Linked DNA regions of Canis lupus familiaris. The protein of the gene in region 1 binds, or shares a complex with, the protein of each later gene. Links are inferred from orthologs where the notes say so. Each region holds a gene or a part of one and is shown in the gene's direction. Other genes may lie near its edges.

Evidence for each region.
Region 2: PIGA (region 1) and PIGY share a complex: the UniProt entries of both Homo sapiens proteins name them as parts of the glycosylphosphatidylinositol-N-acetylglucosaminyltransferase (GPI-GnT) complex. The link is inferred for Canis lupus familiaris from reciprocal best matches to the Homo sapiens genes PIGA and PIGY.

Annotation. Positions count from the first base shown.
Region 1 is NC_049260.1:11,624,940-11,628,944, reverse strand, and holds the start of PIGA (phosphatidylinositol N-acetylglucosaminyltransferase subunit A), read left to right. Parts: upstream 1-1,205; 5' UTR 1,206-1,555; intron 1,556-3,714; 5' UTR 3,715-3,776; coding exon 3,777-4,005. UniProt on the Homo sapiens protein: Catalytic subunit of the glycosylphosphatidylinositol-N-acetylglucosaminyltransferase (GPI-GnT) complex that catalyzes the transfer of N-acetylglucosamine from UDP-N-acetylglucosamine to phosphatidylinositol and participates in the first step of GPI biosynthesis.
Region 2 is NC_049253.1:28,141,915-28,146,149, forward strand, and holds the start of PIGY (phosphatidylinositol N-acetylglucosaminyltransferase subunit Y), read left to right. Parts: upstream 1-1,435; 5' UTR 1,436-1,523; coding exon of another isoform or gene 1,524-1,726; intron 1,727-3,895; coding exon of another isoform or gene 3,896-4,037; 5' UTR 4,038-4,130; coding exon 4,131-4,235. Other genes in the region: PYURF (protein preY, mitochondrial), read left to right, coding at 1,524-1,726, 3,896-4,037. UniProt on the Homo sapiens protein: Part of the glycosylphosphatidylinositol-N-acetylglucosaminyltransferase (GPI-GnT) complex that catalyzes the transfer of N-acetylglucosamine from UDP-N-acetylglucosamine to phosphatidylinositol and participates in the first step of GPI biosynthesis.

The DNA of each region.
Region 1 (4,005 bases):
AGCTTACTATCTGGCTAGAATGGCAGACATTTAACAAGCAAATTCAATTTCCAGTTTTCAGAAAGAAGTCAGTGTGAGATCCCAAGAAGACCCGCCTGGGAGGATCAGGTTGAGGAGGAAGGGGGCTAGCAGACAGGCAAACAACTTGAATATCACCTGACAACTGCTATGCCAGCATATGGCCAAAGTACTATAAAAATACAAAGGAGGAAGGATTTAATTCCCTCGGGAGGCTTGGAAAACGGCATCAGAAAGGAGCTGAAATCTTCAGGGGATGCAGAGGCTTTCTACAGGCTTAAAAGGGGTGCCAGTCGCAGCGGTTTAGCGCCTGCCTTTGGCCCAGGGCGCCATCCTGGAGACCCGGGATCGAATCCCACGTCGGGCTCCCTGCATGGAGCCTGCTTCTCCCTCTGCCTCTGTGTGTGTGTGTGTGTGTGTGTGTGTGTGTGTGTGTGTGTGTGACTATCACAAATAAATAAACATTAAAAAAAAGGGGGGGTGCCAGTGATGGTGCTCGGGAAGGCATCTGTTCTCGAAAGTGTACGCATGGCAGAGCTGGGGGAACTCCAAGCACCAAATGGAAGGGTTGGATGGCCATCACACCACTTCCACGGATTCACTAGCCAAGCACCATCATAGCCAGTTGAACCAGTTTCAGTGGGAGTTGATATTTCAGGTCAGACCTCAGATTTTTTTTCTTCGGTGTAGGGTGGCCAGATAAAATACAAGCTACGCAGTTAAGTTTGAATTTGAGATAAACAAGGGTAACTTTTTAGTAAGGTCGCCAATGTTTGGGGCATACTTGTATAAAAGTGATCTGAAATCCAAATTTTTCTAAACTTTGCTTTTATTTTAAGTGTGTGATTTTAATTATTTACCTCAGGCAACCCCAGCAGCACGGTTCTGCTGTGACAGATAATCACAAACACAGCGCCACCACGACCCGGGTGGCCTTCCGCCCCAAAAGTCCGATCCGAAGCCAGAGAGTACCGGCTTCCAGAAAAGGGGACGCTGTAACTAGGCAACCAAGACGCGAACCACCCGACCTTCTGCAAAATTCAGGTTTAGAAGTGCGGTGCATCCTGGGAGTGAGTTTTCTAAGTTCAGCTTCGCTTCCGAAGGCCACCAGACTACAACTCCCAGCAGCCCTAGAGACTCGCTGCGAGTCACGCTGGGATTTCTGACTTTACCCTCCGGAAGGCTCCTGGTAGGCTGCTTGTGTAAGAAGAGACCAGGGCCCGTTTCTAGAGGTTCGCCACCCTAAGAATTCATATAAAAAGTCCAACCGAGGAGTATTACTTTCGATGCAGAGAAAAACAAGTCTCCCCGAATATTGCGAAAACATGTGCCTACGCGCGCTGACGTTACAGCCAGCGCTGAAAGGTGGAGACTGAGCGGTGCTCCTGCACGTGACTCCAGCGCACCTTTCTGATTGGCCGCCTCGGGGGCGCGGCGCTCGGGCGCGGACGCCTCTGATTGGTGTTTCGGGGCAGCGGGGTGGGACTCTGGCCGCAGCCGCGGGAGGTCCGGACACTGGCGGCCATGGGACTTGCCGGTAAGTGCGCGTCTGACCCTGCGCCGGCACTCTCGGCCGCTTCCGGATGGGACTGGGCTGCACCCGTGGGAGTGTGGCCGGCGATGGAAGGGGCAAAGCCCGGGAGGCTTTGAAGCTCGGAAGTCGGGGGCGAGAGCCTCCGGACTCGAGTGGGGCTGAGGGTGCGCTGTGGCGGCCGCGCTGGAGCCGGTGCCGCGGAGACTGAGGCGGGCAGGTTGCAGGGTTCCCGGACCCCCAGCCTCAGACCCCTGCTCACGGTCTGGCTATCTTCCTCCTTTTGGGCCTGGCGAGACCCTGCTTGTCTCCAACGGGGTCGTTGATTGAGCGGGGTCGTCCCTCCCTTGGCCCTGGCGCTCCCCGGTGACCTCTCAGAGTGAAGCTGGGGCATTGCCCCGGGGGTGGGTGTGAAAGCACCGTCCTCCAGACCCAAGCCCCCGCGAGGTCTCCCTAAGGCTCCTCGGGAGCCTCTCCTGCTGACTCCCCGGGGACTCGTTGGCTCTGGATGGTTGTAAATTTACGGCCATTCGCATTTGTCACTAAAGTGGCTGGGTGGAGACCTTAGTCAAATCGCTCAACTTGCTTGGCTTCTCTTTTGTAAAGCAAGCGAGGTATTCCTGGATCTCCAAGCCTCTTGTCGGCTCTAAAATCTAAGATTCTGTGGTTGTTCCATTTGTTGAGCTTTTACGCCATAAAGATGTTAGGCGTGATAACCCGGTGGAAGTAGGCAGGCGCCTCAGAACGTTTGCAGGTTAATGACAGAACTTCAGATAAATTCATGTGGTTCTTGACTCCCTTTTTTTTTTTTTTTAAATCACCTTTTTAAGTTGAGTACAACTGGAAATTCAGGTTTAGGTGACAAACCACAGTAAGAAAATGTACTGAAACCACTTAAAAGGACAGACCTGAGGAATCTCAATATTTGGTAGTCTTGAATCTTAAATAGTAAATTCAGGTCAAAAAACACTTATTGAGTATTTCTGAGAATAGATTTAAAATATAGATGACTTCGTTGCCAAGAATTAAGAGTTTATACAGGCAGTTAATTTACATTTCCTGCGTTTACAAGTGAAATCGGAAATTCAGACCTTTAGGATCGCTTTCCATTGTGTAGTTCAGTTTCTGGAAGTGTGGAAATCTCATTTGTAAATCTGAGGAAGATTTCACTGGTTTTCCAAGACACTCTGTTGCTTTTTTTTTATTTTTTATTTTTAGCTTTAAAAGTGAGAATCTGTAATAGTACTGAATATCGAGTGAGCATTTTCTGCTGATGAGGGAGGATCTAGGAGACCCCTGAGATCCATATTTCCTCCTTTAGATGTAGAAAATGGCCCCACATCGGGTCCATCTTGAATTGAGCCTTTGTCTTTTAACTTCGAACTAAAGACAGGGATATTCCTGGAAGAAAGGCCTCCATAACTGAAAGAAAGGTTAAGAACATGAAAGGAGCAGCTTATTACCAGCCTTGAATAAGGAAGAGGAAAATGTAGATAAATGTCTGCAGCATGTGCTGTAGGCAGTACTTGAAAAAGACAGTTCTAGGGGCGCCTGGGTGGCTCAGTCAGTTGAGCGACTGCCTTTGGCTTGGGTCATGATCCCAGAGCCCTTCCTGGGATCGACCCTTGCTTCCCGCTCTCTGCCCAGCGGGGAGCCTACTTCTCCCTCTCCCTCTCCCTGCTTGTGCTCTCTCGTGATCTCTGTCAAATAAATAAATAAATTCTTAAAAAAAGTTCTAGCTCCAGGTGTATTTTAGTTTAAACCGCAAAGTAAATAGCAGAATTGTATGAGATTCATTGGGTCAGTGGCTAAGCTCTAGAGCAGGGCTGGCTAACTTTCTGTAAAGAGTCATGTATTTAATTACTGGAATGAACTGGTTTGCTAGCAGAGCACATTCTTATATACTGTGACATAACAAACTCATTTTTTTAAATTATGTGTTGCAGTGTTTTTTAAGCAAAATTAAAATATAAGGGCATTGTGGAATCTAGTTTTGTTGTATGGCACATAGTAAGTACTAAGCAAGTACTAAGCAAGTCACTTACTTTCATTTTTAGGGGGAAACCTAGCAAATTTACATTAGCATAAAACTGTTTACATCTGGATTTGGAAAACGTAATGTATTTTGTCTCTGAGCTGAGATCTTGTTTTACTCTCTTTTTCAGGTACTAGACGACACACATCTTAATCGAGTTGCTCTAAGGACAAATGCCTAAACCATCTCAGCATGGCCTATAGAGGAGGAGGTGGGCATGGCCAGCCTCGCTCATCTGTGCTCCCCCGTGTTAGCCCTGGAAGTCTCTCAGCATATAGGACCCGTACCCATAATATATGCATGGTGTCGGACTTTTTCTATCCTAACATGGGAGGCGTGGAAAGCCACATTTACCAGCTCTCTCAGTGCCTGATTGAAAGAGGGCACAAAGTCATAATTGTCACCCATGCTTACGGAAATC
Region 2 (4,235 bases), on another chromosome or scaffold:
AGCACAATGTACTGGAAAGAACAGAGGACGTAAAAATAACAATAGAGAACATTAATTGAGCATTAACTCAATTGTTAATTGTCCGGATCACTCTTCTAAATATTCTTTGCCTGCAAGATCCCATTTGAATGCCCACAAGGAGATTTCATGAGGTAGGTGCCATTATCTTATCATACAATAAAGAAACTGAGTGGGGGGATCCCTGGGTGGCGCAGCGGTTTGGCGCCTGCCTTTGGCCCAGGGCGCGATCCTGGAGACCCGGGATCGAATCCCACATCGGGCTCCCGGTGCATGGAGCCTGCTTCTCCCTCTGCCTGTGTCTCTGCCTCTCTCTCTCCTCTCTCTCTCTCTCTCGCTGATGACTATCATAAATAAATAAATTAATTTAAAAAAATTAAAAAAAAAAAAAAAGAAACTGGGTAAGTCGTTGGCTGGACTTACACAGCTAGTAAAGCACGGACCAGAAACCGAGCTGCCAGGCCCCAGAGCCCAACCCTTCCTTCATGGTAAGAAAGAGATCAAGCCTGAGACCACTTCCCTAGAGCACCAGATGCAAACCTGGCGCGGAAAATCCACTGAGCGGATTTGCCATCCAACTAAGGTACATCCACCCGCTTGGTTGCACAGTTGCTCAGACTCCTTGCTGTCACCAGCTCATTTATAAACTGGCTGCGCTTTATGATGCAGTTGAATTCACAGTAGAAGCTGGACTTCTGGGAGGTTAAGAGGCCTATGCTATTCTTTTCAGGCTCTAAAGTTTCTTTGTGTGTGTGTGTGTGTGTGTTTTAAGATTTTATGTATTTATTCATGAGAGACACACAGAGAGAGAGAGAGGCCGAGACACGGGCAGAGGGAGAAGCAGGCGCCCCGCGCGGAGCCTGATGCGGGACTCGATCCCAGGACCCGGGGTCAGGCCTGAGCTAGACTCTACCCCCTGACCTTGGGATCACGACCTCAGCCGAAGGCAGACGCTCATCCACTGAGCCACCCAGGGGCCCCTCAAGTTTTCATTTAATAAGAAAAGGGCGGGGAGGGGGGAAAGGTTACAGGTGCTATGGTAATTTACATAAAACAAATCCATGCTTTTAAGATACCCAATACGTGTTCGAAACCTCATTCTGGAGATGACCACGTAGGTGCAAGCTTAACCCTGTGGGACTCTGAGATCCGGCCACCGGCTTCCTGGCTCCCCTGCGATGAGCCCTGGTGAAAACCCAAAATGCCCCCAATTCAAGCCCTGGCTTTGTCAGTCATCGGTAAACGCGGCGAACAGCCACTGGAGCCCCGCGGCTACGGGCCCCGCCGTAACTACCGAGCGGTGGGCGGGAAGAAGCAGTCGCGTCAGCAGCGCCCCCGGAACCCAAGGGCTGCCTCCTGCCCGCCCGCCCGGGGACCGCATTCCCGCAGCACCGGGGGCGGGGCCTGGCGGGCGGCGGGGCCGGCTGCGCGGGGAGCGGCTGAAGCGGCGGAAGCGGCTGAAGCGGCCGGGCGCTGGCAGGGCGGCGGGTGCGGGCTGCCAGACCATGCTGAGCGGAGCGTGCGGCCGGCTCGCCTCAGCACTGCGGGGGCCGCGCGGGCCGTCGTTCGCGGTCGCCCGCAGGCGCCTTCACGCGTCGGGGTCGCGGCGGCCCTCAGACAAGAGCGAGAGGACGGGAGGCCCGCCCCGCGCCTTCGACCCGGCGCTGCTCGAGTTCCTGGTGTGCCCGCTCTCCAAGAAGCCGCTCAGGTGAGATTCCCGGCGGCCGGCCTCGGTTCGCGCGGCCGCTCACGGCCCTGGGGAGCCCTTCGGCTCGGGCCGGGGTTGCCCGCAGCCATTTTGTGGCCCCGGGCCCTGCGGCTACCAGGCTCCGCCCACTGCGGCGGGAAGGGCGGGGGAGGGGGGAGGCGGGCGCGAGCCGATCCCGGGCCGCTCGGATCCCACCGCCGAGGCGCGGCTGGAAGCCTTGGAAGGTTCCGCGCTGGCCGCGCGGTCGCCTCGCCGGGGGAACTTTTTTTTTTTTTTTTTTTTAAATGCCGATTCGGGTGCGCCGGCGCCGACCGACCCAGTCAGCCGGGCTGGGGGCCGGACTAGCGCGAGGCGTTTTCTTAAAAGGACCTAAGTGGTTCTCGCGCGCCGCCAGGTTTAGGAACTGTTGGGAGTCGGGACTGGCCCGTGGGTGTGAGGTTTTTAAGCCAAGATGGTGAAAAATGACTAAAAATTCTTATGGAAATCTACAGCTGATGCGTGACGGCCTTAAACACTTTTAAGCTGCGTGCGCTGCTGCGCCTTTGGCTCTTAGTTCTGGACGGGCTGGGTTTTGCAGAGTCGTAGGGTCTGTCTCCCTGGAATCCTTAGGGAAAACAGCTCAGGGAGGGGAAATAGAAGGAGACGGAATCAGAGAGGGAGACCAACTCTAGGAGACCGACGGAGGGTTGCTGGGGGTGGGGGGATGGGTGACCGGTGACGGGCATTAAGGAGGGCACTTGATGTCATGGGCACTGGGTGTTAGGTTCCACTGATGAAGCACTAAACTCTATCTCTGAACTAATTATACACTGTATGTTAATCAAATGAGGAAAGATTTTATTTATTCATGAGACACACACAGAGAGAGAGGCAGAGACACAGGCAGAGGGAGAAGCAGGCTCCATGCACTGGGAGCCCGACGTGGGACTCGATCCCGGGTCTCCAGGATCACGCCCTGGGCCGAAGGCGGCGCTAAACCGCTGCGCCACCGGGGCTGCCCGAGTTTAAATTTTTTTTTTTTTAAAAGAACTCTGCACCCCCAGGCTACTAAAACTGAACATTGACAACACTAGTTTTGCACCAGACTGTTATCAGTGGTTATTTTGGGTGGTGGATTGCTAGTCATTTTTTTTTTTTCAATCTTTCTACGTTTCTCTTAACGAGATGTTTTCCCATAATGAAGACACTCAATTTTCTTTTTTTTTTTTTTTAATTTTTATTTATTTATGATAGTTACACACACACAGAGAGAGAGAGAGAGGCGCAGAGACACAGGCAGAGGGAGAAGCAGGCTCCATGCACCGGGAGCCCGACGTGGGATTTGATCCCGGGTCTCCAGGATGGCGCCCTGGGCCAAAGGCAGGCGCTAAACCGCTGCGCCACCCAGGGATCCCCACTCAATTTTCTTATACCTTGAAATGACCATTTGATCTACCGTTTAGTTGTGTAACTAGCTGCAGATGCACTGTTTTCAGTTTCCTCGTTTCTGCTCTCTCCTCCTCAAACTTTTATTTTGTATATCTTGATTTTCAGTGGTTTCCTTCCAGTGGTTCAATTAGGTTGCTGTGTTAAGCGTGCATTCTAAAATAGTGGGGAATTTTAATTTTCCTCTAGTGGCTGTTTCAGTAGTAAATTAACTGGGATGGTTTTGGGGTTGACCAGAGTTAGGAAGGAATATTTTGATGAAAAGGGAAGATCTTCTAACTGGATTTTAAAAATACATATTAAGGTGTAGCTCGAGAATAAAATGAAAAAATACAAGAGAAACTGACCAAAATGCAAACAATTAGAGATTCATTTTCTAAGAGAAATGTTTCAGTTGGCTAATACTGTTTTTAGAATTAGAAGCAGTTTTTTATTTTTTTAAAGATCTTATTTATTCATGAGAGACCTACAGAGAGCCAGAGACACAGGCAGAGGTTGAGAAGCAGGCTCCATGCAGGGAGCCCGATGTGGGACTGGATCCCGGGACCCCAGAATCATGCCCTGGGCTGAAGACGGCACCAAACTGCTGAGCCACCCAGGCAACCCTAGAAGCAGTTTAATTCTACTTTTTTGGAATTTAACTCTCTGTCAAGAATTGGATAAATGGTGGTGTTTATTGAAGACCACGCACTTCTAAGCATTTTATTTTCCACAATTCATTTTGTTTTTCTTTTCCCCCCTCAGATATGAAGCATCGACAAATGAATTGATTAATGAAGAGTTGGGAATAGCCTATCCAATTATTGATGGGATTCCTAATATGATACCACAGGCAGCTAGGATGACACATCAGAATAAGAAGCAAGAAGAAACGGAGCAGCACTAGATCACAATTAAAAGCAACGCCTACAACTGCATTTTCTTAATACTACTTAATTTTTTAAAAGTCAGAGTGGCAGGTAATAAGCGGGGGAGAAGAATGTTTCTGTCTCTTCCTACGTTGACTGTCCTTATTCCATTGGTCTCTTTAGCAGGACTGTTCTACTCAGCTTCTGTGGAGGAAAACTTTCCACAGGGCTGCACT